7 linked regions of the Macaca fascicularis genome follow. The protein of the gene in region 6 interacts with the protein of the main gene of each other region in a pairwise test. Links are inferred from orthologs where the notes say so. Each region holds a gene or a part of one and is shown on either strand. Other genes may lie near its edges. The genes, in order: ARRB1, ARRB2, SHMT1, LNX2, WDR62, MAPK9 and EFHC2.

Region 1 (4,582 bases), on a different chromosome or scaffold from region 6:
ACAGGTGGCTTCCTCTTCTTCCCCTGTGGAGGGTGAAGCCCAGAGGCCAAGACTGGGAGGAGGGTTCTGGGCCTTCCTCCATATTCTCTAGCTCCTAACATTGCCCAGAGGTGGGCCACCCTGCCTACCCATCAGCCTTCCCCTGCCCCTCTGCCAAATCTGGACATAATTATAGTAATGATACTGCATATAAACAGTATAGGTAACTGCTTCTGAGCATGATTACAGGAGATGTTTACACACTCACAACAGCATCAGAGTAAATGATAGCTTCCTCCCTTAATACTTAGACCTTTCAGGGATAGTTAGCCAAATCTCAGCAGTGAGGGTGTGGGAAAGACCTTACAATTTCCCACTACCTGCAAAGCAGGAAGGCACCTCAGACAAAGCAGCGTCCCAGCCAAGATTTCACAGGACATCAAGAAGCCTGCAGAGAAGTGGGCTAACATCTACTGGGCACCTACTGTATGCAGGCACTTGGGGAGGCCAGCAAACAAGCAAGTTCTTTCAACCTATTAATTCTGCAGGCTGATATTAGTGTATCCTCACTTTACAGGTCCGGACATGCGTTCTCAGAAGCTTGGTGTACAGGGTCACCCGCAGCAGGCCATGGAGCTAGGCATGGGCACTTTCCACGGTGCTACCCGGTCACATCAGCGGGCCAGCTCTGCCCTCTTCCTTTATCGCCTCTTCTCACTTCTCGCAGCTTCCCTTTCCTGGGCGGCTTCCTGCAGCCCTTGCTGGTCGCGGGTCTCCGCTCAGTTCCCCAGTGTCAAGGCCGTCTACTGCCCCCTCCACCCCTTCTTCCTGTCTCTGTTGGGTGACTGGGTGTTATCTCTCCAGTAGAAGGGGGTGGGGTGGGGTGGAATGGGGAAGGGTGGAGCACAGGGCGAAGGCCTTGCCAGGCATCCCGGGGTCTCCAGCTAGGCGAGCGGCCGCAGAGAGCGCGGCCTCGGGGTCGCCAGACCCTCGGCTTCCAACCACACGCACACACAAAGGCTGCCCCGGCATGCGCGGGAGAGCGCGCTCGCACCCACGGCCGTGCGCACACACGCACAACTGCACAAAGACGTGCACACTCCTCCATCCACACCAATACACTCCCAATAGGGCCAGCACACAGCCGTGCGCCCTCACGTACACCACACCACCACCACCATACAAACACACACACACTCACTCATACGGACTCGCACGCGGGTGGACCCCTCCCCCACCACAAACGCCGACCTTGGGGCCTTGACGCGTCCTGCAGCGCTGCCCCGGCTCGCTGGGCGGCGCGCGCACACGCAGACGCACGAGCGCGCGCACACACACACACACCCCGCGCGGTTCCACGCCCCTGACCGCGGCCCGGGCGCTGCGCTGCTCCGCGCGGCGGGAGGCGGGCGGGGACCGGGGGCGGGGGCGGGGGCGGGGGCGGGGGCGGTGGCGGCGGCGGCCGGGAGAGCGGAGAAGGCGGAGCAGGGAGCCGGGAGCGGGCTGGCCCGCGCTCCTCCTGCTGGCCGGGGATTTTCCAGCCTGGGTGCTGACGCCGCGGACCTCCCTGCGGCCGTCGCGGACCATGGGCGACAAAGGGACCCGGTGAGTGCAGGGCGGTCGCCCGGCGTGGGGCGTGTGGGGGCGACCTCGGCGAGGGCACGGGCGGGGGCTCCGATTGCGTCCTGGTTCTGTGTTCGCGGCCATCCCGGGATCTAGTACCAGCCCTCCTCCACCCGAGGTCTCCTGCGTGGTCTCCCCGGCAGGGCCGTGGGCGAGGGGGACCCAAAGGGCGAGGGCCGGGCCGCCCCATGTGGGCCGCGGCTCCTGGCCCGGACACACTCACAGCTTGCTGATACCCAGCATTGGCCGGCAGCCGCAGAAACGCGCGGGGGCAGGTTGACACACAATACACGCACGGGCACACTAACCCGTGGCACAGGCATGCTGGCGCACACACTGGCAGCCACTGGCACACGCTCATCACACACAGTGGCACGCCGTCATACACGCCTCGGTCAACACATTCTTGCTTACAGCCTTGTTGGCATGAACGGCTCACACTCCAACACACACCAATTCTAACACACCCTCGTGCTAGCACACACGTGTGGGCATACACTGATACGCAAACTGTCACCTGCACTCGCTGTAGCAAACACTCTTGCTGGTACACACATCACCCTCACTAGCACACACACTTGTGCTGGCATGTCTCACCAACACAGTGGAGCGCAAGGCCACACCAACACTGACCCCCACAGACACAATCAGACTAATGCTTGCAAAGACTGGCACCCCGCAGGCACGAGCTGCTAGCCGGAGGCCCGCTGACACACACGTTCCAGGCCCCACATGGCCAGAAGTGGAAACACACATCACACGGGGTAGAACGCTCCCCACTGCCCCCAGCCTGGGGAAAACAGATCCCATCCCATCCGAATAGATCGCATCCATCTACTCTGTTCCCTTTCCCTCTGACCTCCTGAGGAGTGGCTGGCCAGGGGCTGTTTTGAACCTAGGGCTGGGAGAACCCCTCCCGTTCTAGAACCTGGCCTGAAATACTCAGAAAGAAACGGTCTATGCCTCTGAAAGGGGAAAGTGGGACAGAAGGAGGAGGGGGCTGGAGCAGGACAGCCCCTGGGGGCAGCCCTTCAGACAGGACCAGCCCTTCAGACAGGACCAGCCCTGGTCAAGGGCTCAGCATTGCCACCCTATTTTCCCCGTTGCCCTCCCCACCCAAGTGGGCACAGCAGCCTCTTCCTGGGCTCCCCCTCTTTCTCATTGTTTTCTGTCTTTCTCCTCTCCTATTCTTGTGCCTGACTTCTGCCTCCTCCCTTTCCTCCCCTCTCCTCTCCTCGGTTCCATTTATTATTAAGCTCTTGCTGTATACTAGGCATAGTGTGGGTAATCAAAGATGCGCAAGGCCCACTCCTCTGAAGGAGCTAACAGACTAGAGAGACACACCCCAGTGGGCACCACCTTTCAGGGCCACTGACAAAGCCATTTCTCACGTACTGCCATCTGAGACTCTCTCTCAACAGTGTGAGAAAGGGCTTCCAGAGATTATTTCTATTTTCTAGAGGAGGAAACTGAGGCTCAGAGGCAACTTAGGCTCTTAATGTTTAGAAATTACTTTCCAGCCATCCTCCTGACAGCTCTTCCAGGGGGTTAATTTTCCTCTTCCTGTTTTCTAGCAGAGGAACCAGAGAGCTGGAGAGGTCATGTGATTTGCCTAAGGTCAAAAGAGGCCAGAGGCAGGGCAGAGGCTGGAGTCCACTTGGTCATGTCTCTGTGGATGGCCCTAGGGCACTACCAGGCCCCACATGGGCCAGGGAGGGGTGCCCTGCTCTGTGCTGGAGGCCCAGGCTTTGGGGGAGACAGCAGAAGATCATGCTGTGTCTGCATGCATCTTGATGGCTAGTCCCCATTGCAGCTGGCTGGCCAGCACTGTGACCTAGGCCTCTGTCCTCAGTAGGAAGGTATGTGACTCCCTCCCCAGCCACATCCATCTTGACCCATGAGGTCAGGCTTTTCTTCCTGCAGGGTATAGCAGGGAGTTGGAGCCATTCTCCACTCCTCCTGTCCTTCCTAGGCTGCCTTGTGATTGGGGTAACTCAGCCTCTCTTGGGTCTCTCTGTACCTCTCTGTGACTTGGGGGATAAGTGTCATTGCTGTCCTGCTGACATGATTGTCAGGAAGATGTGGACACCATGGGCTTCCAGGCACCTGTTGGAGACCCTGTCTCTGAGGCCAAGATATTTTCCATGACTCCCCCTGCCCTGCCTTGAACTCACTGCTGGACCGTTGGGACATTGGGCAATTGCCTTTACTTTTCCGGACCTTAGTTTCCCATCTGTAAACTGGAGCTATCAATACTTAACATTTTAAGGCTTCCCTTGTACTTACTGACTTCACTGGGCAGGGGAAGAGGCACTGCCTGAAGCCTGGAGCCAAGGCCCAGCTAAATCCACCTGATAGTGGCCCTGACCTCCCCCTCAGACTCTCCTGCAGCCCCATGAGGGCTTTCTGTCCCTTTCCAGACAGTTTGCTAAGTAATTTGGAAAAGAAGGGCAAAATCGGTAATGGGCTGTACCTTGTCTTTTTCCGTAAGCCATGAGATTCTACTTTATCTATGACTTAGAGGAGGAATCTGAAGATATCTAAAACTGAACATCAGGAATCATTGCATCCATCCCTCCATCTGGAATTGCACCCCCATATGAAAGTGACAATGAAAATTTATCAGAAACTGTCACTGCCTTCTAGGAATTCCCAGGTTCAAGGGGGAAAGTGGTGTTAAATACCTGGACAGGGCTGTGCGTGGTGGCTCACGCCTGCAATCCTAGCACTTTGGAAGGCTGAGATGGGCAGGTTGCTTGAGCTCAGGAGTTTGAGACCAGCCCGGGTAACATGGTGAAATACCATCTCTACAAAAAATACAAAAATTAGCTGAGTGTGGTGGCACATGCCTATAGTCCTAACTACTCAGGAGGCTGAAGTGGGAGGATCACTTGAGCCTTGGAGGTCAAGACTGTAGTGAGCCATGATCATGCCACTGCACTCCAGCCTGGGTGAGAGTGAGACCCGGTCTGAAAAGATA
Region 2 (4,477 bases), on a different chromosome or scaffold from region 6:
AAGGCTGGAGTGCAGTGGCACGCTGTCAGCTCACTGCAACCTCCACCTCCTGGGTTCCAGCGATTCTCATGCCTCAGCCTCCTGAGTAGGTGGGATTAGAGGTGCCTGCCATCATGTCTGGATAATTTTTTATTTTTTTGAGATGGAGTCTTGCTCTGTTGCCCAGGCTGGAGTGCAGTGGCGCAATTTTGGCTCACTGCAACCTCTGCCTCCCAGGTTCATGCCATTCTCCTGCCTCAGCCTCCCAAGTAGCTAGGACTACAGGTGCCCACCACCACGCCCGGCTAATTTTTTGTATTTTTAGTAGAGACGGGGTTTCACTGTGTTAGCCAGGACGGTCTTCATCTCCTGACCTCGTGATCCGCCAGTCTTGGCCTCCCAAAGTGCTGGGATTACAGGTGTGAGCCACTGCGCCTGGCTGCTAATTTTTATATTTTTAGTATAGATGGGGTTTCCCTATGTTGGCCAGGCTGATCTCGAACTCCTGACCTCAAGTGATCCGCCCGCCTCAGCCTCCCAAAGGGCTGGGATTACGGGCTTGAGCCACGGCGTCTGGCCTGTATTTTGTAGTTTTTTAGTAGAGACAAGGTTTCCCCAAGTTGGCCAGGCTGATCTCCAACTCCTGACCTCAGGTGATGCACCCGCCTCAGCCTCCCAAAGTGCTGGGATTACAGGCGTGAGCCACCACGCCCGGCCTTAGGTTGCAGTGAGCCAAGATTGCGTCACTGCACTCCAGCCTGGGTGACAGAGCAAGACTCCATTTCAAATAAATAAATAAATAAAAAATAAAATAAAATAAAACTACCCAGTGATGGAGGTCCTAATGTCTCTATTTTCCAGGTGAGGAAACTGAGGCAGAGAGAGGTTAAGTGTTTTAAGGTCACAGAGAGAGTAAATGGTGGGAATTAATAGAAACCAAGGCGGTCTGGCTCCGAGTCCATCCTCTCAATCAATATTACACTATCCGTCTCTGTAGCTGGCATCAATAGTTTGTTCAATTGAAGGGTATTCGCTTTCCAGTTGCTGAAACAATTTAAGCCTGGACTCCACCCACTGCTGGGAGGGTAAGGAAGTGTTTGGCAATCCCAGTGATCTGGCCAATTGTGAGCCTATTCTTTGAAGCATCACCTTACTCCTTCCAATCCACTCTGCCTCAGCAGTGATCCCTGGAAAGGATCCTCAGATAGACAGCAGAACGTGAAATCCTGCCAACTAGCCCATCCCTCCTCCAACTCTACCACCCCATTCCCAGAGGACCCCAATGGGCAGGTTGCCGCAGTATCTGGGTAAGACTTAACCATCTTTCCATCTGGTCTACAGCTCTGACAGCTGGAGCATATAGGAGAGCAATGACTCTGGCCTTTGGCCCTAAATGGTTTCTACCATAGGCCCAGTTTCTGCTACAACTTCACTTGTCCCTTCTTCCCAGAAAGCCAAGCTGTCCAAAGATTATAAGGTAAAGGGTATGGAGGCTCCCAGGTATTCCTAACCAATAAAAGAGAATAAACATCGATACGGTGGCAGCTAGAATAAACATCCTATCTTTTGTCCCAACTTGGGGGCTGAGTGCTGTGGCATCATCCAGGCTCTCCCTCCCCTTTGCTTCTGGTTTTCCTCTTTGTCCCAGGGTGTCCTCCCATTAGGAGCCCTGGCACAGGGCTGTGACAGCCACAGTCAGTGGGCCAACTGCAGTGTGGCTCTGGGGCAACTGCCCTGGAGCAGCTGCAAGGCACCTGCCCTTTGGATCCTAACCCAGCCACCTCCTGCCAGGCTGAGGAGGAGCAGCGTGCAGATACTAGGCTGGCCAAGGAGGCAGAGTGTGGGGATGACCAGGGAGGTGCCCAATGGGGGCAGGGGTAGCTGAAGCAGATGTCCTTTCACACTTCCTGCTATTCTCTCCATTTCCTGTGGCCCAGAATTTGATGGAGGTGAGGGAAATTGGGTCAAGTCAGCAGTCCCCTTTGGTCCATCTGTCCCACTCCTTGAACCACATAACGGAAATCAGGGGCCTCCCACAAGGCAGCAACTTCCCCTTTCTCTGGGATGTTTAAACCCTAATCCAGGACACCGATCATCTCTCTGATGATCTCTTTCTGATACTCATCTACTTGACGCTCAGAAACCTGGGTTCTCCTACTCTATAGGTTGGAAGTGGGGTCGATATGATGCTTTGCAGAGCAAGCCAGAGCTCAGGACCAATTCCCTATTCCCGATCCCCTCTGGGTTGAGGCCTACAGCCCCAACCTTTCTGTCTTTTGCTCCTGCTCCCCTGGGACTCAGGCATTCACCCCTTACCCCTTGGGGGTGTTGAGTCACAACAGGAAGTGGATTTTGCTAGAGACCAAAAAAGAGAACTCGGGGTATCAGTGGAAGGAAAGAGCCTCGATTGCACAGAAAACATCCGGGGAGTGGACGCGCGCCCAGCGTGAATACTGCCTCCCCCACCCCCAGGGAGAGGGATCCGATCTAGTTTCAGGAAGGGTCAGGCTCTCCCAAGATGAAGCTGTTGTTGCTCCTGGCAACCCAGGGGAAGGTAGAAGTTTGGATGAGGAGCCACCCGGCCCTCGGGACAGGTGTGGGCAGCGCGACTACCTGGGGGATATTGGACAGGAGGCTTTGCATTGGCTTGGCACGAGTCTGGAGGGGATCCCCCTCCCAGCATCCAGCCTCCCCGTACACGACCCCTCGGGGCCAGCCACCTGCTCCTCCCTCCGTCCCTGCATCGCAGCCTGCCCAGACTCCTGGGCACGGGAGAGCCCAGTAGTCTGGCCCCACATCCCTGAGAGAACCCCGACACCGGTTTTTCTGATCCCCCTCCGGCCTCGCTTTCTGCAGGGGCCCGGGCATTTCCCCCCAACCTCATTATCCTCGAGGACCTGCGCGTGCGGCCCCGGATGGCTGTCCCTAGGGACCCAGGCGTCCGGCCCCCAGATCCTCTCCGCGGCGTCCTCGTCTGGGACCGTCCCAGCCCCCGCCCCGAGCCGCCGCCCATGCCCCGCCGCGTGGCCCCACCTCCCTTACCTGGTCCCGGGTTTCTCCCCCATGGTGCGCGCGCCCGCCGCCCGCTCGGTTCGCGGCTCGCTCGCAGCCTCCTCGCCCGCTGCCAAGATCCCTGCTCCTCCCCGCGCCAATGCGCACGCGCGCCCTCCGCGCTCTCGCCTCTTCCCCCTCCCTCCCGGCCCGGCTCTGGTCTGGGGGAACCGGGGCCAGATGCGTCAGCCGGATCGCGCGCGCCGCGGCGCTGCCCGCCCTCTCCTAGCAGACACACAGGGCCATTGGCTCCGCCCCCAACCCTTCGCGTTCCGTCCCAGCCGGGGAGCCCTCCCCCGCGCGCGGGGCCCGCTCCCGCTCTTCCCGCCCATCTCCCCGCCCCGCCGCAACCCCTTGAAACCGATTGGGCCCCCCTAAACCAAGGCTCCCGCCTTCCAGGGGATCTAAGTCTTTCGATTGGCCCTCGGCATCCAGAACCTTTAGGGGTCTCCTCCCCTTTGTTTGCTTTCTCAGTGGCGGTGGGGGCGACCGGGCTGTTGGGGGCGGTGGAATGAGCTGAAGCGCCGTCTGGGAAGGAGGATGGTGGGGGGGAACACGTGGGTGAGCAGTTCAATTGCGTGATACTTGCTTCAGTGCGCGCAGCTCACCTGCTCCACGCGGAGCGTACCGCCTTCTGTGGCCAGCCCTCCCGCTTCTTCACCGCAGCGTGTCAGCTCCTCCTGGTGTCTACATTTGATTTTCGCAGGGTTCCCTTTTCCAATGTCTCTGACTCTCCATCTCCTTCACCCACCCATCCCAGCTAACATCCACTCACTCACTCGCTCGCACCCATCGGTCCATCTATCGACCCACCCATCCGTGCCTATTTTATGCTATTTACTATGCCAATCGATGGGGACACATATGAATTACCATGGCCCCTGACTTCCTAGAATAGTTGAGGAGACACATACACAGGTATTACCCAGGAATGCTATTACAGAGGTCTGAGTCAGAAGACACAGCCACTAACAGCGCTCGGCCCGGGCGGGGGTGGAGCGGAGAACATATGAGGACAGTCTTTCTGAAGGATGTGCAGAAGTTTTTTTTCGTTTTCTTTTTTTTGAGATAGAGTCTCGCTCTGTTGCCCCGGCTGGAGTGCAGTGGCGCGATCTCGGCTCACTGCAACCTCCGCCTCCCAGGTTCAAGCACTTCTCTGCTCAGCCTCCCGAGTAGCTGGGATTACAGGCGCCTGCCACAATGCCTAGCTACTTTTCATATTTTTAATAGAGACAAGGTTTCATCACGTTGGCCTTGCTGGTCTCAAATGCCTGACCTCGTGTTCCACCCGCCTCAGCCTCCCAAAGTGTTGGGATTACAGGCGTGAGCCACCGTGCCGGGCCGGGCAGAAGTTAAGACAGGGCATTCCAAAGAGAAAGACAAGGCACATCCTGTTGTGTGGTGTTGGTGGGGAAGCCTGGAACAGGTTGTGGAGGATTTTGTATAG
Region 3 (3,955 bases), on a different chromosome or scaffold from region 6:
CTAGAGGCAGCCCTTGGCACTGGTTCTGAGGGTGCTGGTTCCACTGCTGGGCTGGCTGTGTTATCAGGTATTTGCAGTGGGGTGGCAATGGCAATGGGGTGTACACCTGAACAGTACAGGTGCTCCGCAACTTATGGGGTTACATTCCAATAAACTCATCATTAAGCTGAAAATATCATAAAGTCATACCTCAACTTATGGGGTTACATTCCAATAAACTCATCATTAAGCTGAAAATATCATAAAGTCATACCTCAACTTATGGGGTTACATTCCAATAAACTCATCATTTAGCTGAAAATATCATAAAGTCAAAAATGCATGTGATACACCTAACCTATCCAACGTCACAATCTAGCCTGGCCTACCTTAAACATGCTGAGAACACTGTGGTACCCTACACCGGGCAAGAGAGTCAAACACAAAGCTTATTTTATAATACGGTGTTGACTATCTCATGTAATCTACTGAATACTGTATTGACAGTGAAAAGCAGAACGGATGTATGGGAGCTTGAAATATATCTATTGAATGCATGTCACTTTTGCACTATCCTAAGGTTGAACGTCCTAAGTCAAACCACTGTCTGTTCCTCTGTAGCCGCTATACACAGGCAGGGGCTGGCCCTAACATGGCCATGGAGGACTGTTGCTGTGGATGGCACAGGGCTGCTGGTTTTGGTGCTGGAGCCGAGGATGCTGCCATCCCTGCAGCTACTGCATCCTTATGCTGCTGCTGGCCCACAGGGGCTCTGAGCAGAGATGTCACCAGGCGAGGGCAGAGCTGTGGAGGTGGTGGCTGTTGCTGGGGTCCAACTGTAGTGACCTGGTTGCTATTCCCCAGGGTTGTTATTCCCAGCAGTTACCACTGCCCCTGCCACACCTGAACTCTCCTCAGTAGTTGCCTCCCTCACTGGTTTCCCTATGGCCTCAGCTCAGACCCTCGTCTCTCCATCCCAGCTGCCCCAGCGGGTCCTGAAAGCCTGAGGAGTCCCCACGGCAGGGAAATGAAAAATGGTGCAAGGTGGGGACTTCCTATAGTGACACATAAACCAAACTTATCCCTACAGGCAGAGCCAAACATCAGAGGTTTCCCAAGGAAATAAAAGCTATGGAGAGAAACACATGCTTACCTTATAGGGCATAGATTCAAAGAAGATGGACGTGGCAGAGATTTTCTTCTTGTCTGTCATGAACCCATGGGTCAGGTGGCCCCCATCTGGCAGGTCCAGGCCCATGATGCGCCCATGGGGTTCCACCAGGGCAGTGTACACAGCGAAGTTTGCAGGGGAGCCTGAAACAAGTGGACCAAAGGAGACACGATTATTTCTGACCGAGGTACCAAGTGGCATCCGGGACCTTGGCCACTAAGCCTTCACCCAGGAGTGGCAAGAACAGGCCTCGTGCCTTCCCTGAGCTCCAGGAGGTGCCCCTTCACCATCAGCCTTGAAAGAGGAAGTTCAGAGAAAGGGCACTGCCTGGGAGGGGGTACAGAGCTGGGAGCCCAAGGGCAATACAGAGAGATGCATGGCTTATCTTTTATTTATGGCAGTCCTTCTTTTTTTTTTTTTTGTTTTTGAGATGGAGTTTCACTCTTGTTGCCCAGGCTGGCGTGCAATGGCGCGATCTTGGCTTAGCGCAACCTCTACCTCCCAGGTTCAAGCAATTCTCTTGCCTCAGCCTCTGAGTAGCTGGGATTACAGGCATGCACCACTACACCCAGCTAATTTTTGTATTTTCAGTAGAGACCAGGTTTCTCCATGTTGGTCAGGTGGTCTTGAAGTCCCGGCCTCAGGTGACCTGCCTGCCTCTGCCTCCCAAAGTGCTGGGATTACAGGCATGAGCCAACCGCGCCCGGCCTATGGCAGTCCTTCTTAGGATGCAAGTCCTTCTTAGGATGCTTCTTGGTGCATGTCAGCCCTGGGGGATGCACATGATGAGGCTGCACCAGGCCATGTGGATGAGACAATCACCTGAGTAGGGCTGGACGTTGACCCCCCAGCACTGTGGGTCCAGCTTATAGGCCTGCAGGGCTCGCTTCTGACAGAGGGTCTCCAGTTCATCAATAAACTCAGTCCCGCCATAGTATCTGTGGGAGGAGAGTAGGAGACTTAGATCCAATCAGACCCAGAAAATCTGTGCTTCACAGAGGCCAAAGAAGCTCGGGGTGGGACAGTGAAACTAAAGTGCAGAGAAGTAACGAACGAGAAGAGCTTGTTAACATGCAGATGCTGAAGCCAGCATGATCAAGTGTTCCACCAATGCCTCTGGAATCTAGAGTCAAGAGACCAAACCAGCTGTGCAACTTGGAGCAAGTATCTCATCTATAAAAAGGGGGGGTTTTGGCCGGGAGAGGTGGCACATGCCTATAATCCCAGCACTTTGAGGGGCCAAGGAAGGATTGCTCGAGCCCAGGAGTTTGAGACCAGCCGGGACAATATAGCAATACCCCCATCTCTACAAAAAATTTCAAAAATTAGCCAGGTGTGGTGGTGTGTGCCCACAGTCCCAGCTACGTGGGAGGCTGAGGAGGGAAGATTCACTTGGGCCCAGGAGGTAAAGGCTGCAGTGAGCTGTGATCACACCACTGGACTCCAGCCTGGGCAACAGAGTGAGACCCTGTTCCAAAAAAAAAAAAAAAAAAAGGAAGAAAAAAAAGGAAAGAAATCCTGTCACATGCTATTAATACAACAGGGATGAGTCTGAGAACATTATGCTAAGTGAAACAAACCAGTCACCAAAAGACAAGCACTGTATGATTCAACTTTTATGAGGTCCCTAAAGTAGTTAAGCTCATAGAGGCAGAAAATAGAATGGTGGCTGCCAGAGATGGGGGAACAAGGACTAGAGAGTTTGTTTTTGTTTTTGACGTTTTGCATTTCTAATGAAATTTTACTTTCAATTTAATAACTGCATATCAAAATTTATCATATATTTATGTTTTTATTATCTATTATTTATTATATTGATAACTCAAGTACTAAAAATTACTGGGTTCAAGCCAGTAATTTTTTTTTTTTTTTTTTTGAGACAGAGTCTCGCTCTGTTGCCCAGGCTGGAGTGCAGTGGCGCGATCTCGGCTCACTGCAAGCTCCGCCTCCCGGGTTCACGCCATTCTCCTGCCTCAGCCTCCTGAGTAGCTGGGACTGCAGGTGTCCACCACCATGCCCGGCTAATTTTTGTATTTTCAGTAGAGACAGGGTTTCTCCATGTTGGCCAGGCTGGTCTTGAACTCCCGACCTCAGGTTATCTGCCCGCCTCCTCCTCCCAAAGTGCTGGGATTACAGGCGTGAGCCACTGCACACGGCCTAACCAATAATTTTTAGCTTTTAGACCCTGTGATCACAAAAAGCTTTCTTTTAAAAAAATAAAAAATAAAAAAATAAGAGACAGGGTCTTGTTTTATCACCCAGGCAGGAGTGCAGTGGTGAAATCATAGCTTACTGCAGCCTAGAACTCCTAGGCTCAAGCAATCTTCCCCTGCCTCAGGCTCCTGAGGAGTTGGGGCTACAAGCCCATGTGTACCACACCCAACTAATTTTTTACTTTTTTGCAGAGAAAGGGTCTCCTTATGTTGCCAAAGCTGGTCTCAAACTCCTGGTCTCAAGTGATCTTCCCATCTCAGGCTCTCAAAATGTTAGGATTACAGGTGTGAGCCCTTGTGGGCTGTCACAAAAAGCTTAAAAATTAAAATATAAATGTATTTCTTTTTGTTTTTAAAAAAAATGTAACATAGGGCCGGGCGCGGTGGCTCACGCCTGTAATCCCAGCACTTTGGGAGGCCGAGGCGGGCGGATCACAAGGTCAGGAGATCGAGACCACAGTGAAACCTCGTCTCTACTAAAAATACAAAAAATTAGCCGGGCGCGGTTGTGGGCGCCTGTAGTCCCAGCTACTCGGGAGGCTGAGGCAGGAGAATGGCGTGAACCCGGGAGGCGGAGCTTGCAGTGAGCCGA
Region 4 (4,408 bases), on a different chromosome or scaffold from region 6:
GAAAGAAGAGGGGGAGAAGGCCGAAGAGCCAACCAGATTACAAGAGCCTGGAGTCCTTCTTTCTTTGATGGTGGCCAAAATGTATTTTAAGGACAGAAATGCCTAATATTCAATGTCAACACTTCTGACATTGCTCCACTGTGAACCCCTTCACCCTCCCCTTCCTCTAAATCGCCTATAAAGCTTACCACACCCATAAAGGCTTTCTGTGAACTCTTTTTTTTTCTTTTCTATTCTTTTCTAGCTCCTGTGAGACACAACTATCCAACAACTGCATCATGGATCTCTCAACCATCCATTTAGCACCTCCTTAGATTGGTCCAAAACTGAACTTATCTCCCCTTCCACACCTCTACCATCAATTGTTTTTAACTGCTTCTTCTCATATCCTCCAACATTCCACTAGCTCATTAACGTCATCATCTATGCACTTGGAATGTGCTAGGTACCCTGCCAAAGGCATTACATGTGTAATTTCTCAAACCCTATTGAACAGGTATGACAATCATTTCCCAAATATTAGGAAATCAAAGTTCTGTCAGGATAGTAATTCTAAGGGTAAGTAATAGAATTAGAATTTGACCCGTTTTAATTCCACAGCCAGCTTACCCAGTACATGTCAATCAATGCCTGAAATCAAACAACCCAGGATTCATCCTTCCCCTCCCTTAAGCCTATCTAGTCACTTACCTGGTCCAGCCTCCTAGTCATACGCGTTAAATGCCATGTCGTTTCTCCTTCCACTGCCAGCACACTAGCATTTACTAAGTCCTTACTATGTGGCAATCACTATTCTAAGTAATATACATGTTTTTTCAAGTTCTATCCCCCAAACTCTGAGATGAAAAACCTAAGGAACAAAGAGGTTTCAGTGTATGACAGAGCTTGATTCCACCCCAGGTAATCTGAATAGAGAATCCCTGAGCACTTAACCCCTCCATTATAACAGCCTCCAACTTAGTCTCAATACCGCCCATCTGGAAGCCCACCATCCTCCAGATGCTGCAGATATCTTTCTGGAACGCGAATGTTATCATGACATTCTCCTGCTTAAAATTAGCAGCTCAGTATCACTGACTGGATAAAGTCCAAATTTCTTAATCTGGTATACAAAATCCTTCATTTTTCTGTTCAAGTCAATTCAGTAAATATTTTAGTGACCAATGTAAGCAAGAAAAGGTGCCAAGTGCTCTGAAATGAATACCATACATGTCCCTGACTACTACTTCCACCTTGGACACTGGGTCCTTCGGCCAGACAAGCCCATATGCAAAGCTCATAATACAACAGCCCAAAGATACATGCATTTATTTTTAAGTGGCCTGCGTGCTCCGTGCCTACAATGTACGATATCCCAAATCAATCTGAAGGCTAGGTGCCTACGTAACACCTATTCTTACAGGTCTCCAGGCAGAAATGCTCCCTAAGTTCAAATTACTTCACGGTAACTAGCGGGATAAAAGCATGGATCAATTTCCAAATGAGAAAACTTCTGGGCAAGAACTAACCCCTGCCATCAATGGCTGGCATGCAGTAGGTACTTTATCAGTGGCTAAATGAATAAATAATGAAAAAATGTCAAAGCTGATGAGAAGACGAGAGAAACAAGATATATGGAGAATGTAACACACAAGTGGGCCGAATTAAAAGTAATGTTATTCTACTTTGGTTCTCATTTGGCCTACTTTTACCCCATGGGAAAACTCACATGTGGGACTTGGACAAGCTTAAAAAGCCAAAACTTTGTTATTCATGGCTCAACAAAGCTTTGACAAGCCAAAAAGGATACCAGATTCCCGCTTCCTTCTTTACCTGCCAAAGTCCATTTTCTAAAGAGGTGTGGGGGTGGGAATCAAATCTAGCAAAGTAAATAAAATTGATCTACTGAGATCCAACTTCATCAGTGCTGCATCGAAGTACATGCAAAAGAAATATCAAAATCTGTCCTGGGAAGAAGGCCAATTTACAAGTAAGTACTATTGCCGCAAGAATGTGAAATTCTTAAAGGCAGTTCCAATAAGCTGGAGCTCACAAGTGTTCCTCCTCCTGCACCGCCACCGCTCTTCACTCAACTTTGTTTCTGATTTCTGTGATTTTAAAAAGGATAATAAATACAGCAAAGTCCATGCATAAGTGTACTTTAGCTCCTGGCACAAACGAACGTCTGGATTCATAAACTCAACGTAAACTGAAATACTAGAAGAAACACTACATGAGTCAAAAGTCCTTGTTTAAAACGTGGCATAAAGCTTTGAAAAGCGAGTGATGTATTTCCTGAACGATGCTTTGTGTGCAACTGGTTCCAAATCAAGATTCGCATTTTTAAATTACCCACTGGAATATGTCAAATCTATCTCCCACCCTCTCCAGCCTAAAGAGAAAGGTGAGAATTCACAGGCAACAGGCTAGGGCGGAGGGAACGATCTCTCCCTATCCCTTTGCAGAGGAACAAAATCCGACAAAGGCAGCTAGTGCCACTCGCATTGCCGACACCACACACACACACACAGGAAATTTAAACACTCACCCCACCTCTCCCTTCCCTTAAGAAGCAAACGACGCCAAGATCTGCACCGCGGTGGCCGGAACCAGCAAATGCTAACAGCCGGAGGCCGCCCGCCTCCAGGGCTCCTACAGGCGGCGGGCACCGGGCGCCGACTCTCCCTCCCCGACCAGCCCCACACCGGAGTCCACGCCAGCCCCGCAGCCCGGGCGAGCAAAGACAGCCGCGGACGACCAAAGCTCCGGGGCGAGCAGCGGCGCCGCTCCGGCCGCCTCCCGGGGCGCGGCGCTCCTCCACACCCAGCCGACGCCCGCACCTGAGGCGGCTGCCCGCAGCCGGGGAGAGGGCGCGCAGCGAGGCGGGCAGGGCAAAGTTACTCACTGGGAAAGCGCGGCTGCCCGGGCCGCGCACGGCCACCAGCTCCCGCTCTCCGCGGCCCGCTGAGGGAGCGGAGAGCCTGCCCGGCTCCGCTCCGCCGAGAATTGCCGCCGCCGCCACCGCGGATTTCCTGGCAAGAAGCAAACTCCGGCCAAGACTTCACTTCTCAACCGCCCCTGCTGCCTTCCCGGGGGCCAGCGCTAAGGCCGAGCGGCCCAACCCGCAGCCGGGCCAATCGGAGGTAGCACAGGGCGGGAGGTGGGCGGACCAGAGGGCGGCTCCACCTATCCGAGAGCTCGGGAGGCGGGCCAGAATTGGCCCGTCACTCCTGGGTTAGAGTGAGACCACTCCGCCCTCGCCGCCCGCCTCCCCCACCCGCCCCGGGCTGTCCCCGCCGCCCGCCTGATTCCCCTGCGGAAGCCCCGGGGGCTAGGTGCCTGTGCGCACCCCGGGCCGCTGCCAGGAGTGGCACTGCTCGGGAAGGAGTGAACATCCAGAGGAATCGCGGGGCGGGGTGGGGGGAGGCTAGGAGAACAGGTGGCGCAGGGAAGCAGAAACGTAGTTGCGCAGGACAGCTGGACAGCTGGAGTGGGGCAGGGTCGGGGCCGGCGGCTAGGGGAGAAGGGCCTATTCGAGAGGAAGCGCACCTGAGGGAGCGCGGCCGGGGCCGGGACGTGGGAGCTGGGCGGAGAGCGAGTCTGGGTGGCGAAGGTTGCCGAGGCGGGGGCTGGGCACCTGGGAACAAAGGTGAGGGCGGGTTCCGCAGGTGAAGAGGTTTGAAGAGCCACAGCGGGTAAAGGGAAAGGAAGTCCACAGCCGGAGAGGACGCGCTCTGGGGGATAGAAGGAATCCTAGGACGGAAAGGATGAGGTGGGAAACAGTTTTTTCGCAAACTCTCACTCCCCCAAAAGAGAAAGACATTTCTTTCTTGCCCTTTATTTGACCCAGTTGAGAATGCAACTGCAAGGTCCCCGGTGAGACAAATACCGCCTTCAACCCTCGTATTCTGTCGTGACTCATCTTGCACGTGACCTCCTCCCTCTTCAAGGTGTGTTGACCGACTAGAGCCTAAGCCTGTCGTCCCACAGAAGGCCCAGGAGGCCGGGGTCCCAGGAAGGGCCATCCTGGGTCAACACCGCCCCAGTGGGGGAGTCGGGCCTCTTTCGCCCTTGCCACTGGGAAGGGAAGTGATTTGGGGGCGGCAGGTAAAGCCCCGCTCCTTCACCATCACCTGGGGAAAGGTACCAAGGTTGAGCTGGCGCGCCCGCAGGCCTGTCTGGGCCTCGGGGTAAAGCGGCGCTGGCCCCACCCCCTGCCCCCACCCCCTGCCCCTCCCGCCGTGAGTGGCCTCGCCTGGTCGCCCAGGTGAGCCGCCGGGCCGCGAGCCACCGCCCACCCCGCGTCGGGGCGGGGCCTGGGGGCGGAGCCTGATGCCCCGCCCCGCGGCTGGGCCCTGCCGCGCCGCTGCGGCTCCTCCTCCCTCCTTCCGTCCTCCGCGCCTTCCGTCGGTCTGTCCTTCCTTCCTGC
Region 5 (3,955 bases), on a different chromosome or scaffold from region 6:
TCCTTTCCTTCATGACACCCAGTTCCCCTGTTCAGGTCCTGTCATGGAAAAGGCACCCAGGAGCTAGTATCCAGAAATCCACAAAGAGGCAGCCCTAGGCACCCGGCACCCCCTGGTTAGGTAGCCCCCGATTCCATAAAACAGACTTGCAACAAAGGAGAAGACAAGCCACAGCCTAGCACTTCCATCCACTCTCGACACAGCAGCAGAGGGACCTAACATGTAAGGCCTGGTCATTTACCCCAATGCCCGAAACCCCCAAGCAACTGCCCACTGACCTAAGGATAGACTACAGGCGCCCCACACTGGCCTCATCTCCCACCATCCTCCCCGGGCACACTGGGCTCTGGCCACACAATCCCTCACTATTCCTGCAACATGACAAGCCCAGTGTACTGTCACCTCAGTTGCTGGGACCGAGCTCTCCACACAGCAGCTCCTTCTCACCAGACACCCAATCAGCACAGCCCACCCCGGCACTCTCCTTCCTGAGTCCTTGCTGTGTTCCCCAAAGCACTGATGCCTATCTGAAATTACCTTCTTTGTGTACTTGCTTATCATCGAGCCCCCCTGCTACACTGCACAGAGGCAGAGATTTTGCTGCTTCACTATAGGTGTATCCTGCTTCCAGCCCAGGGCTGGCACTTAGCAGCTGCTTAGTAGGGGTCAGCCATGTGGATGCAAACACTCCACCACATTCACAGCTGCTCTGCACTGTTCTTCACCATGCTGACCGCTATCTGAGATGATACTGTTTATTCGTTTGTTTTCTCACTGACTGTTTCTTCCCCTACCCAGCCTCACTTCTCACTGTGAAGCTTGCCTTGGAAGGCAAGGACTTTTCTGCTTTGTAACGCCCAGGGCTGAGAGTCATGATGAGTATTTGTGGGATGGACAGATATATGGATCTGGAAGCATGGATGAATGCCAGTGGCGAGACTCTGGGTGGGCCCCTCCCGTTCCGTTCCCTCTCCCTGCAGGGCAGTACCTGGGCTCCAGGCCCTGTGCCACATCTACCCCAAGGTAGTGTGGCTTGGGCAGGTTGGCGAGGTAGTGCAGGCTGTGGGCCTGGAAGATGCGGACTATCCCATCTGTGCAGCCACAGAAGATGAGCTCCTGGCTGACACAGAGGCAGGAAGACAGGGAGACCTGTAGGGGCAAAAGGGACCCCAGTGGATTTGGTGCTTCACGTGGCCTGGCCCAGGGACATGGGGACTGACAGAGCAGCCTTAGGCCTCCAGAGAAGACTTATAGTTCCTTGGGTCTAAGACACCCATTTTAGCATATTTTAAGATTTCTGAAATCAAGGTATAGTATACTGCTGCTATTGAAATACATGTGTCCCCAGGTAGACAGAGACATGAACGGAGACAGAGATGTCACTGCCGTCCACAGAGAAACGTAGCTATGTATGAAGAATACCTGTTCAGCAGACTGCAATTTCAGGTAAGTCACTTGTAGTAACAGGGTTGAATGTTAAGCTTAAATTTTTTTTTTTTTGAGATGGAGTTTTTTTTTTTGGTCGTCGCCCAGGCTGGAGTACAATGGTGCGATCTTGGCTCACTGCAACTTTCACCTCCCGGGTTCAAGCGATTCTCTTGCCTCAGCCTCCAGAGTAGCTGGGATTACAGGCGCCTGCCACCACATCCGGCTAATTTTTTTGTATTTTGAGATGGGATTTCACCATGTCGGTCAGGCTGGTCTTGAACTCCTGACCTCAGGTGATCCACCCACCTCGGTCTCCCAAAGTGCTGGGATTACAGATATGAGCCACTGCGCCTGGCCTTTAGGCTTAAATTTTATTCCCTTTTGCTTACAAACAACTTCATAATGACTATACTCCAAAGCAGTACAGAAAAAAGTTATAAGGCCGGGCGCGGTGGCTCAAGCCTGTAATCCCAGCACTTTGGGAGGCCGAGACAGGTGGATCACGAGGTCAGGAGATCGAGACCATCCTGGCTAACACGGTGAAACCCCGTCTCTACTAAGAAATACAAAAAACTAGCCGGGCGAGGTGGCGGGCGCCTGTAGTCCCAGCTACTCGGGAGGCTGAGGCCGGAGAATGGCGTGAACCCGGGAGGCGGAGCTTGCAGTGAGCTGAGATCCGGCCACTGCACTCCAGCCTGGGCAACAGAGCCAGACTCCGTCTCAAAAAAAAAAAAAAGAAAAAAGAAAAAAGTTATAGTATCTAGAAAGGACTGTCTATCCTACTAGGAAGTGCTAGACCTCTAGATGCAGTTTAAGGAGTTTTTCCAAATCTAGAGGGACTTAATTTATGAGTCATTTAGTGTTTAGGAACTAAACATCTATCTATTGAAAGCTTTTCACTTGCTTGAAAAAGAGAAAATGATGTTTAACCAACTAGGACAAATATAAAACTTGGAACTCTTTCACATGCCATTAACCTCAAAGGTGATCTCTGGAGTGAGTTACAAAGGCAAGCAAGGAACAGGAGAGAAAACCACAACGCTCTGGCTGATAGCCAAATGGGCAACTGATTCCAGATGGGAAAATAGCTTGGACACAAACTTTCAGATACTAAAGGAAAGAAGCTCTGCAATGTATCGATAGATCATGCTTTAGTTTAAAAGTTTATGGCAGGGCACAGTGGGAGGCCAATACCGGTGGATCACTAAAGGTCAGGAGTTTGAGACCAGCCTGGTCAACATGGTAAAACCCTGTCTCTACTAAAAATACAAAAATTAGCTGTGCGTTGTGGCAGGCGCCTGTAATCCCAGCTACTTGGGAGGCTGAGGCAGGAGAATCGCTTGAACCTGGGAGGCGGAACTTGCAGTAAGCCGAGACTACACCACTGCACTCCAGCCTGGGCAATAGAGTAAGACTCCATCTCAAAAAAAAAAAATTAAAAATAAATAAAAGTTCATGCATTTTGTGTAGTCTTTTTTGATTGAAAAGTTATTAAATCAATGATACCTCTGAGTTTTTAAAAATGCAATCCTCTACCAGCCAGAGTGCTCAAAGGAGAAGAGAAATGTGAAGTAGATCAAATAGTAATGGGAAAAAAACTGTCACCTTGAGCCCATTTCAGGTTACCAAGCACGGTGCTCACTGCCTATATTATCTCACGTGACTTCTTTATCAGCTCTGTGGGGAGGGCAGCAGTACTCCCATTTTACAGATGTGGAACCTGAAGCTCAGAGAGGGGGTGTCATTCACCATTAGTCACATAAGCAGAACCTGTGTGGTCAATACTGATGAACACCCCTGCAGACACATATCATGAGAAAGAGCCTGTCCAACTGATGGCAGAGAGGGAGGTGGTACCTTCAGGTTGATCCACTTCTCCAGCACTCTCTTCTCATTGAATTGGCAGAGGAGGCCCGAGTAGGACACACAGAAGGTACTGCCTGCCATCCGGCCCCGACCGCAGGCCACACCACAGAAGATATTGTTGTGTAGCTCGCCCAGGATGCCTGAGCGCCCTACAAGGGGCACTGTGCTCGTCACCTGGAGACACAGAGGGCATAGTGAGATACTGTCCACACAGCTGAGCCCCCAACAGGGCCACGATGGGTCCTGCATGACCAGATGATAGGACACAACGAAACAGGAGAACTCCAAGAAGCTCTTCCAAATGGAGGAGAAGGAAAGAAAACACTAGAACCCTGCCACTCTGGACAGGGGGGCTGGAAGCAGCAGTCCAAGAATGAGAGCTGGTCCCAGGGTCAGGGGGTTCCTGGCAGGGCCTGTGCATCAGCCCCCTGAGAGTAGGCCCAGAAGCAGCAGCTGGGCCCCTGAGAGGTCAAATGGCCCGAGACCGCTGCCCTCAAATCCCAGGGAGAAACAGGAGGCCATGCTGCCACAGATGGTGACTCCCTCAGGGCCTGGTTAAAGGGCCAGGGACAGAAACTCACCTTTGTCTCAGTGGAGACTTCCAAGAACCAGAACCTCACATGTCGGTTCCCAACAGTGACAAAATAGCTGCTGTCCTCTG
Region 6 (3,955 bases):
AACAGGAAACTTGAGATCTGGAAACACAGCCTTTAAATTTTATTCTTACCATAGTAGTAGGAGGAGATATTTCTAAAAGAACTTTATATAGCAGTTGCTTACGTTAGAGATTTTGTATCTTGGGCATTTACCATGAGCTGAAATTTTGGCTTCTTTTCTTATTAGATACTGTTGTCTAAGAAAAAAACACAATGACTCAAACTTTAGATTTATTGTATTCTTCTCATCAACTCAACCATTTCCTCTACTGTGATATTCCAAAATATACACATTTTAAGATGGGATAACAGTGACTTTGTTTCCAACTTCTTGTCATGTTTAAACTGAAGATTTCATTTCTTGACTGGTTTTATGCACTCTATGTTAAATTACCTGGTTTTGAATGTAGTCTAAACTGTGAAAACGGTACGTGAAGGATTGCTGAACCCCGTCTTAACTGTCGCTGAAATATGTCTCTGCAAAGGGGTTAGTCCATGCTGTAGTCTTAGCCAGCTCACTGTGCTCTTCATATGTGTGGTACCTTGAATGGAAATAAGCAGATTTTTCCTTGTTACTTATTAAAAAGATAATATATTCAATGTATATTCTGGCATTGCTGTGTTTTCCAAAACGGTTCTAATGGATTGTGCATTATATTTCCTAATTCTAGTGCTGCATTTGATACAGTTCTTGGGATAAATGTTGCAGTCAAGAAACTAAGCCGTCCTTTTCAGAACCAAACTCATGCAAAGAGAGCTTATCGTGAACTCGTCCTCTTAAAATGTGTCAATCATAAAAATGTAAGTTATGTGTGTATTTTGTCTGTGTGCTTCCATGTTGTCAATAATGTGAGAATCTTCAGGGTCTTCTGGAGATACATTGAGTTCAGATCTAGGATAAGCTAAGGATAAAAGTGACTATTAACATTGTTATTTTATTTTATTTTATTTATTTATTTATTTATTTATTTATTTTTTGAGATGGGATCTCGCTGCGTCACCCAGGCTGGAGGTCAGTGGCGTGATCTCGGCTCACTGCAAGCTCCGCCTCCCGGGTTCACGCCATTCTCCACCTCAGCCTCCCGAGTAGCTGGGACTACAGGCGCCGCCACCACGCCCGGCTAGTTTTTTGTATTTTCAGTAGAGACGGGGTTTCACCGTGTTAGCCAGGATGGTCTCGATCTCCTGGCCTCTTGATCCACCTGCCTTGGCCTCCCAAAGTGCTGGGATTACAGGTGTGAGCCGCTGTGCCCGGCCTATTTTTTATTGATAAAATTCTTAATAAACATTGAGGAAATTAAAGCTGAAAAGAGGCATCATTATGGTTCATAGGAATTTAGGTCACTCAACCAGAGTAGGAATATCAGTTGATACTGTTTCTGTAAAATAGGAACAGTATTGATCCAACAAATTGAGAAACAACTAAATATTTTGTGGAAAGATGTTGTTCTATAAGTAATTTTTTACCTTGTATATGACATCTCAGTTTCAAATACACTTATTAGATGATGTCACATTTAGAGTAGCTATTCTTGGAAGCGCCACAGAAATCAAAGCACTAAATTTTATGGAGAAATAATGTTTCTAGAAAATGAAGTTGTGCTCAATCAGGCACATTGTATGTTCTCCTAGTGGTCGCTGCTGAGCATTACGTTGATAACCTTGCCAAGTTATAAAATTATAAAATGTTGGCAGGGCGCGGTGGCTCACGCCTGTAATCCCAGCACTTTGGGAGGACAAGGCGGGTGGATCACCACAATCAGGAGATCGAGACCATCCTGACTAACACGGTGAAACCCTGTCTCTACTAAAAATACAAAAAATTAGCCAGGCGTGGTGGTGGGCGCCTGTAGTCCAGCTACTCGAGAGGCTGAGGTGGAGAATGGTGTGAACCCGGGAGGAGGAGCTTGCAGTGAGCAGAGATCGCACCACTGCACTCCAGCTTGGGCGACAGAGCGAGACTCCATCTCAAAATAAATAAATAAATAAATAAATAAATAAATAATGTTAAATCTGGAAGGAGTTTTTTTATTTGTTTTGTGTTGATTTTTTAGACAGGATCTCATTCTGTCACCAAGGCTGTGATTCTCCCACCTCAGCCCCCCAAGTAGCTGGGACTATAGGCGTGTGTCACCATGCTTGACAATTTTTTAAATTTTTTGTAGAGTTGGGGTCTTACCGCATTGCCTAGGCTAGTCTTAAACTCCTGAGCTTCCTTCTTTTGAGTCTGTGGCTTGAGTTGGTTTTAATTTCTCTAATGCATGCTTTATTTTACTTGTTTATTTAAAAAAATTTTCAGGTTACAAAAAATATATATTATTTTTAAAAATTCAAACAATATAAAAAAGTAAAAACTCCTGACTACCACCACCCACAGAGTACTAGCATTAACAATTTGGTGAGCATTCTTATACATACATGTACACAAGTACATAAACAAGATTAATCGTGTTATTCTTCATCCTGCTTTTCTCCTCACGCAGTGTGGGTTGACCTCATGTACTTTAATTAACATAGATATAAGCCAGTTTTTAAATGACTGAATAGCGCAGATGCACAGTAATTTAAGAGACTGCCAACCACCTGTTGTTGGATAGATTGTTTTGTTTCTCACTGTTATAAGCAGTGTTGCAATGAACATTCTTACGCCTGAATTTTTGCACACTTGTCCAGGTGAAGTTCTTGGCCAACATTGCCGGGTCAGAGTACACACTTCTGGTTTATATATATTCTACTTTAATATATACTGACAAATTGATCTCAAGGAAGACTATTAGTTTGATATTTTCATTAAGAGTATCTGAGAAGCTGGGCATGGTCCCTTCCACCTGTAATCCCAGCTACTTATGGGGCTGAGGCAGGCGGGTCGCTTGAAGCCAGGAGTTCAAGGCACACCAGGGCAATAAAACAAGACCCCATCTCTTGAAAAAAAAAGTGTCAGCTGGGCGCTGTGGTGCACGCCTGTAATCCCAACACTGGGAGGCCAAGGCAGGTGGATCACCTGAGTCAGGAGTTTAAGACCAGCTTGGCCAATGTGGTGAAACCCTGTCTCTACTAAAAATACAAAATTTAGCTGGGCATGGTGGCGGGTGCCTGTAATCCCAGCTAATCGGGAGGCTGAGGCAGGAGAATCGCTTGAACCCAGGAAGCGAAGGTTGCAGTGAGCCGAGATCACACCATTGCACTCCAGCCTGGGCGACAAGAGTGAAACTCCATCTCAAAAAAAAAAAAAAAAGTATCTGAGAATGTCTGTTACTTCAGAATCCCCCAGCACTACATACCATTGATTTTTTTTTGTTTTACTTTTGCCAATTTGATAGATAAATGATATTTTTATTTGTGAGGTTGTCATTTATTTTTATGTGTTTTGGTAATTTAATTTTTATGGCCTTTATCCATTTTTCTTTTGGACTGCTGGTCTCTTCTGCATTTGAAGGAGGGTTTTTTTTTTTTTTTTAATATTAAAACTATTGCCCTTTACTTCTTTTTTTCCATTTGACTATGTTGTTGACATACTGATTTTTTATCGCCTGTTTTTTTGTTTCATTTTAATGTAATCAGATCCCTTAGGTTTCCTGTCAGGTTTAGAAAAGATTTTTCTACACCAGGATTATATAAATGTTTATCATATTCTGATGTTTTATTTCATGTTTTAGATTTAAATCTTTGTTCCATTTTGAGTTTATCTTGGTATAAAGATTGAAATATGGATGCAGTTTTATTTTTGTCCTTAGCTAACCGATCACCCCAATCCTATATAATGGATAATTCATCTTTCCCTCAGTCATCTGGAATGACTTAGGTTATGTGTTTGGTGCCTAAGCCGTGGGACTCGCTGTTTACACCATGGGGTGTATTGGTTCGTTCCTGCACTGCTGTAAAGAAATACCTGAGACTGTGTAACTTATAAAGGAAAAGGTTTAATTAACTCACAGTTGCACATGGCTGGGGAGACCTCAGGAAACTTACAATCAGGC
Region 7 (4,692 bases), on a different chromosome or scaffold from region 6:
TTGAGACAATCTATTTAATCCTTCTGTGTCTCAGTTTCTTTTCCTGTAAATAGATTATCCTCATAATACTTATCTCTTAAGGGGTTTCTGTGATGATTAAATAACTTAATACATGTAAAACACTTAAAAGAGTATCAGCCATGTAGTAAATATCCAATAAATGTATTGTTATTCCTATTACTACTAGGTAATTACAAGATTCCTATCTATAACCCTGCACAAATCTGCAACTAGTTTATCATCATCATAAATCATCTCTTAAATTAAGGTTTTACACCTGAATCAGAAATGCTGGTACTTAGTTATTGTCTGATTCTATGACAGGGTTGTCAATTGTCATAGTTTTACATGTCACTCATATTCCAGTGACTTCTATATCTTTGCACAGTTCTGGATTCTAGCTCTGTGCTATATATAACCATATTTACAGATGTTTACCAGAATCTTCACCTTGATGTCCCATGGACACCTGAAAGAAAAAGTACCCACATTCTTAGCAAACTATCACAAGAACAGAAAACCAAACACCGCATGTTCTCACTCATAGGTGGGAACTGAACAATGAGATCACTTGGACTCGGGAAGGGGAACATCACACACCGGGGCCTATCATGGGGAGGGGGGAGGGGGGAGGGATTGCATTGGGAGTTATACCTGATGTAAATGACGAGTTGATGGGTGCTGACGAGTTGATGGGTGCAGCACAGCAACATGACACAAGTATACATATGTAACAAACCTGCACGTTATGCACATGTACCCTAGAACTTAAAATATAATAATAATAAAAAATAAATAAATAAATAAAAAAGAAAGAAAGAAAAAGTGCCCACAACTGAACTTAGAATTTCCCTCTGAGCCTTGTTTTCCTACTAAAAAATGTTTTAAAACTCTTCCTGCTTTCCTTATGATATTACACTGGGTTGAATATTGTCCCCTCCAAAAGTCATGTCTACCCCAAGCCTCAGAATGTGACCTTATTTGGATATAGTCTTTGCAGATAAAATTAATTAAAATGAAGTTATGCTGGATTAGAGTGGACCCTAAATGCAGTGACTGGTGACTTGATAAGAAAGCCGCATGAAGACATATTGGTATACACAGAGAACACCATGTGAAGTTGGAGGCAGACGCTGGAGTGATATGCCTACAAGCCAAGGCATGACTGCCAGCCACCACCAGAAGCCAGGAGGGAGGCATGGAATAAATTCTCCCTGAAAGCCTCCAGAAAGATCCAATGCTGCCAACACCTTGGTTTTGGACTTCTGGCCTTCTGAACTGTGAAAGAATAAGTTTCTGTTGCTTTAAGCCACTTCCTTTGTGGTACTTTGTAATGACAGCCCCAGGAAACTAATAACAGATACTGTCAACTATTATTAAATTTAGAGTTCTTAGAACTATCCTTACCTGTATTAGTTTCCTAGTGATGCCCTCACGAAGTACCACAGACTGAGTTGCTTAAAACAATAGAAATTTATTCTTCCACAGTTCTGGAGGCTAGCAGTCCAAAATCTAGGTGTCAGCAGGGCCACACTTTCTCTGAAACCTGTGTGGGAATCCTTCCCTGCCTCTTCCTAGACTCTGATGGTTTGCTGGCAGTCTTTGGTGTTCCTTGGTTTGCAGCTGCAAAACTCTAATCTCTGCCTCTGTGGTCACCTGGTGTTCCCCCTGTGTGTCTCTGTCTTTACCTGGCTGTCTTCTTATAGGGAGGCCAGTCATATTGAATTAGGGGCCCACCCTACTCCAGTATGATCTCATTTTCCTCATCTTAATTTACCTAATCACATCCACAAAAACCCTATTTCCAAACAAGGTCACATTCTGAGGTACTAGGGATTAGGACTTCACATACCTCTTTTGCGGGGGGGCGGGGACACAACTCAACCCATAGCACTACACCTTTCTTTTTTCACCATTTCAATTGATCCCCTTCTAGCTATTTTATGTTCTCCTGCAGCAGCATCTCTCAGAGGTAGCTCCTGTCCTCCATGCCCACTTCAGCTGCCCTGGTTATGGCACAGTCATCTTTCAGCGGTATTATTGCACTCACCTCCAGATTGCTTTTCTTACTTCATTTCATTCTCTGTACATCCAGCAAGTTAGCTAATCAGTTTCTAATCAGATTTCTGTCATTTCACTGGCCAAGACCTACAGTGACTTCCCGTAACCACAGCCTCAAGTAGAAACTAGCACAGAAGGCCAGAAGTTTGGCCCCAGCTTCTCCTTCTAACCATCTCTCTTGCCACTTTGCACCATGTGCCGCATACCACACTGGGCTACTCACCCTTTCTTGAAAATAGATTTTAGGTCTCCAGGCCTTTGCTTACACTGGTCCCTATGCCTGGAACACCCTTCACGACCCTAAACCCTCTGCTGAACTGTTTTTCATCCCATAAGGTGCAACTGAAACACCACTTACTCAGCTTGCTTCCAAAATTCCATTACATCAAATTATTGAGCCTTTACCTATGTTTCTGTGACACCTTGCGATTCTCGATACTAATGTAACACTAGTAAAGATATAGAACCTCTTATATACAACAATTAACCTTGACAGTCATATTTTAACCTTGACAGTAGAAATATAAGCAGGCATATATATGGACTTTGCCTCCTGTTGATATTAATTAACCATTGCAGCATATTCAAAAAGTTTGTGTGTGTGTGTGTATATACACACATATTTACATATTATATACAATGTGCATCTGTGTGTGTATATGTATACACACACACACACACACACACAAAGTGGCTTATCTGCAAGATCACACTGTGAGTGATCCAGTGTTCTTTTCATTGTTTACGGAAGAAACAGTAACCAAGCAGCCAGTATAGCTACCAGTTTGTATTTTAAAAATTGGGTTCTTTAGGCGGCAGTTCACGCCTGTAATTCCAGCACTTTGGGAGGCTGAGGTGGATGGATAACTTGAAGCCAGGAGTTTGAGACCAGACCAGTCCGGCCTATATGGCGAAACCCGTCTCTCCTAAAAATACAAAAATTAGCTGGGCGTGGTGGCATGTGCCTGTAATCCCAGCTACTCGGGAGGCTGAGGCATGAGAATCACTCGAACCTGGGAGTCAGAGGTTGCAGTGAGCAGAGATTGCGCCACTGTACTCCAGCCTGGGCAACAAAGTGAGACCCTGCCTTAAAACAAATAAAATAAAAATAAAAATTGGGTTCTTAAGAAAGTATAGGAGGATCTATCACTGTATTAATGCTGCATGACAACTCCTGAAATTTCAGTGGTTCACAAGAAGGCACATTTCTTTTTCTTTTCTATGGGCATGTAGGTCAGTGAAGCATGGCTGGATTCAGCTAAGCTTGGCTCTTAGTCTGCAAGTCCAGCCTGGTCTGATCCCCCTTGGTCATTCTAAAAACAACAGCATCCTGGGCCATGTTCTTTTCATGGTGATGGCAGAGGCACAGAAGGCCAAGCCAAATGATGCCAGCACACTAGAGCCTCTGTTCATGATATGTCTGCTAACAGTACATAGGTCAAAGCCAGTCATGTGGCCAACCACATATCAAAGGAACAGGAAAATATACTCTTCTTACTCCACGGGAGGTTCTGCAGAGTCATATGACAAAGAGTGTGGGCACGTAATTCTTATACAGGGAGGGAATGAAGAATCAAGAACAAGTATCCAGTCTACCACAAAGTCTTTATGAACCTGAAGTAGATGGTAGAAATTTTCCCTTTGAAAATAAACTTCGGTGTTGAATTTTCAAAACTGTACTTTGAAATGTGGTTCTAATCATATCCATTTTTGTTTTTTTTTTCTAGAGATGTGAAGATATCTGGCTTGGCATGCCATCACCTATTCCTGCGAAATACATTGACTACTTGACCCTTTTGAAGGATGTGTTTGGCTTAGAGGAGGAATAACCATGCCAGTTTTGGTCAATTCTCTTTGATTTACTTCTCTCATTTTGCCACATTTACTTTAGTAGATATAATTTCATTAAAAACAAAAAAGAAACAAGGTTTATATTAAATGGAAATCCACAAATCACAATTAATCCTATTTTGTCATGTTAGTTTTTCAGAACATCATGTTATATTTCTGCCGTACTGTTACTATTTAAAATGCCATCTTAAAACATGTTGAATATTTTTATTATATGTATATTTTATTAATACCAAAAAATCTTCTGATAATTTTTCATCCAACGTAATTTGATTCATTAGTATATGAACAGAAAATAACTTCTGAAGGTTATACATGACAATACAAAATCAAATTATATCACAGCAATAAGTTGTGATTCTATTAAATATTTTTGAAACCTTTTTGACACATTTATTACTTATATAGTTAAGTTTTGTAGCAACCCACCTCATCAAAATAATTCTTAAACCTCTCTAGAGTAAATATGTTTATTTTTTAAACTTAGTAAAGCTATGGGAAGAAAAAGAACCTCCCCAAAACACACACACACACACACACACACACACACACACAGGAAACATATGCAGTATTTATATTTGTAATGCCCTTTTTTCTATCTAAAGTCAGCTTGTTAGCTTAGGAATATATGCATGTGTATATAATTATAGTTTGACCAAAAATTTATTATGTCTAAAATATTTACAAATGTGAAAGCTGAAGATTTTGAGATTTTTTTTTTTTTTGGTTTGTTTTACACACACATCCCACCCGCCCCACCCTAGAGGTTTAAATATTCAG

The links.
Region 1: the proteins of MAPK9 (region 6) and ARRB1 interact in binary tests that used the Homo sapiens proteins (3 or more experiments, as listed by UniProt). The link is inferred for Macaca fascicularis from reciprocal best matches to the Homo sapiens genes MAPK9 and ARRB1.
Region 2: the proteins of MAPK9 (region 6) and ARRB2 interact in binary tests that used the Homo sapiens proteins (3 or more experiments, as listed by UniProt). The two-hybrid records come from large-scale screens. The link is inferred for Macaca fascicularis from reciprocal best matches to the Homo sapiens genes MAPK9 and ARRB2.
Region 3: the proteins of MAPK9 (region 6) and SHMT1 interact in binary tests that used the Homo sapiens proteins (3 or more experiments, as listed by UniProt). The two-hybrid records come from large-scale screens. The link is inferred for Macaca fascicularis from reciprocal best matches to the Homo sapiens genes MAPK9 and SHMT1.
Region 4: the proteins of MAPK9 (region 6) and LNX2 interact in binary tests that used the Homo sapiens proteins (3 or more experiments, as listed by UniProt). The link is inferred for Macaca fascicularis from reciprocal best matches to the Homo sapiens genes MAPK9 and LNX2.
Region 5: the proteins of MAPK9 (region 6) and WDR62 interact in binary tests that used the Homo sapiens proteins (3 or more experiments, as listed by UniProt). The two-hybrid records come from large-scale screens. The link is inferred for Macaca fascicularis from reciprocal best matches to the Homo sapiens genes MAPK9 and WDR62.
Region 7: the proteins of MAPK9 (region 6) and EFHC2 interact in binary tests that used the Homo sapiens proteins (3 or more experiments, as listed by UniProt). The two-hybrid records come from large-scale screens. The link is inferred for Macaca fascicularis from reciprocal best matches to the Homo sapiens genes MAPK9 and EFHC2.

The regions. Positions count from the first base shown.
Region 1 is NC_088388.1:74,216,636-74,221,217, reverse strand, and holds the start of ARRB1 (beta-arrestin-1), read left to right. Parts: upstream 1-1,451; 5' UTR 1,452-1,564; coding exon 1,565-1,584; intron 1,585-4,582. UniProt on the Homo sapiens protein: Functions in regulating agonist-mediated G-protein coupled receptor (GPCR) signaling by mediating both receptor desensitization and resensitization processes.
Region 2 is NC_088390.1:4,804,688-4,809,164, reverse strand, and holds the start of ARRB2 (beta-arrestin-2), read right to left. Parts: upstream 3,016-4,477; 5' UTR 2,993-3,015; coding exon 2,859-2,992; intron 1-2,858. UniProt on the Homo sapiens protein: Functions in regulating agonist-mediated G-protein coupled receptor (GPCR) signaling by mediating both receptor desensitization and resensitization processes.
Region 3 is NC_088390.1:18,475,150-18,479,104, forward strand, and holds part of SHMT1 (serine hydroxymethyltransferase, cytosolic), read right to left. Parts: intron 2,089-3,955; coding exon 1,973-2,088; intron 1,294-1,972; coding exon 1,133-1,293; intron 1-1,132. UniProt on the Homo sapiens protein: Interconversion of serine and glycine.
Region 4 is NC_088391.1:7,597,530-7,601,937, forward strand, and holds the start of LNX2 (ligand of Numb protein X 2), read right to left. Parts: upstream 3,071-4,408; 5' UTR 2,885-3,070; intron 1-2,884.
Region 5 is NC_088393.1:43,309,388-43,313,342, reverse strand, and holds part of WDR62 (WD repeat-containing protein 62), read right to left. Parts: coding exon 3,876-3,955; intron 3,469-3,875; coding exon 3,286-3,468; intron 1,150-3,285; coding exon 989-1,149; intron 1-988. UniProt on the Homo sapiens protein: Required for cerebral cortical development. Plays a role in neuronal proliferation and migration.
Region 6 is NC_088380.1:187,169,454-187,173,408, reverse strand, and holds part of MAPK9 (mitogen-activated protein kinase 9), read left to right. Parts: intron 1-649; coding exon 650-779; intron 780-3,955. UniProt on the Homo sapiens protein: Serine/threonine-protein kinase involved in various processes such as cell proliferation, differentiation, migration, transformation and programmed cell death.
Region 7 is NC_088395.1:44,209,150-44,213,841, reverse strand, and holds the end of EFHC2 (EF-hand domain-containing family member C2), read left to right. Parts: intron 1-3,788; coding exon 3,789-3,890; 3' UTR 3,891-4,024; downstream 4,025-4,692. UniProt on the Homo sapiens protein: Microtubule inner protein (MIP) part of the dynein-decorated doublet microtubules (DMTs) in cilia axoneme, which is required for motile cilia beating.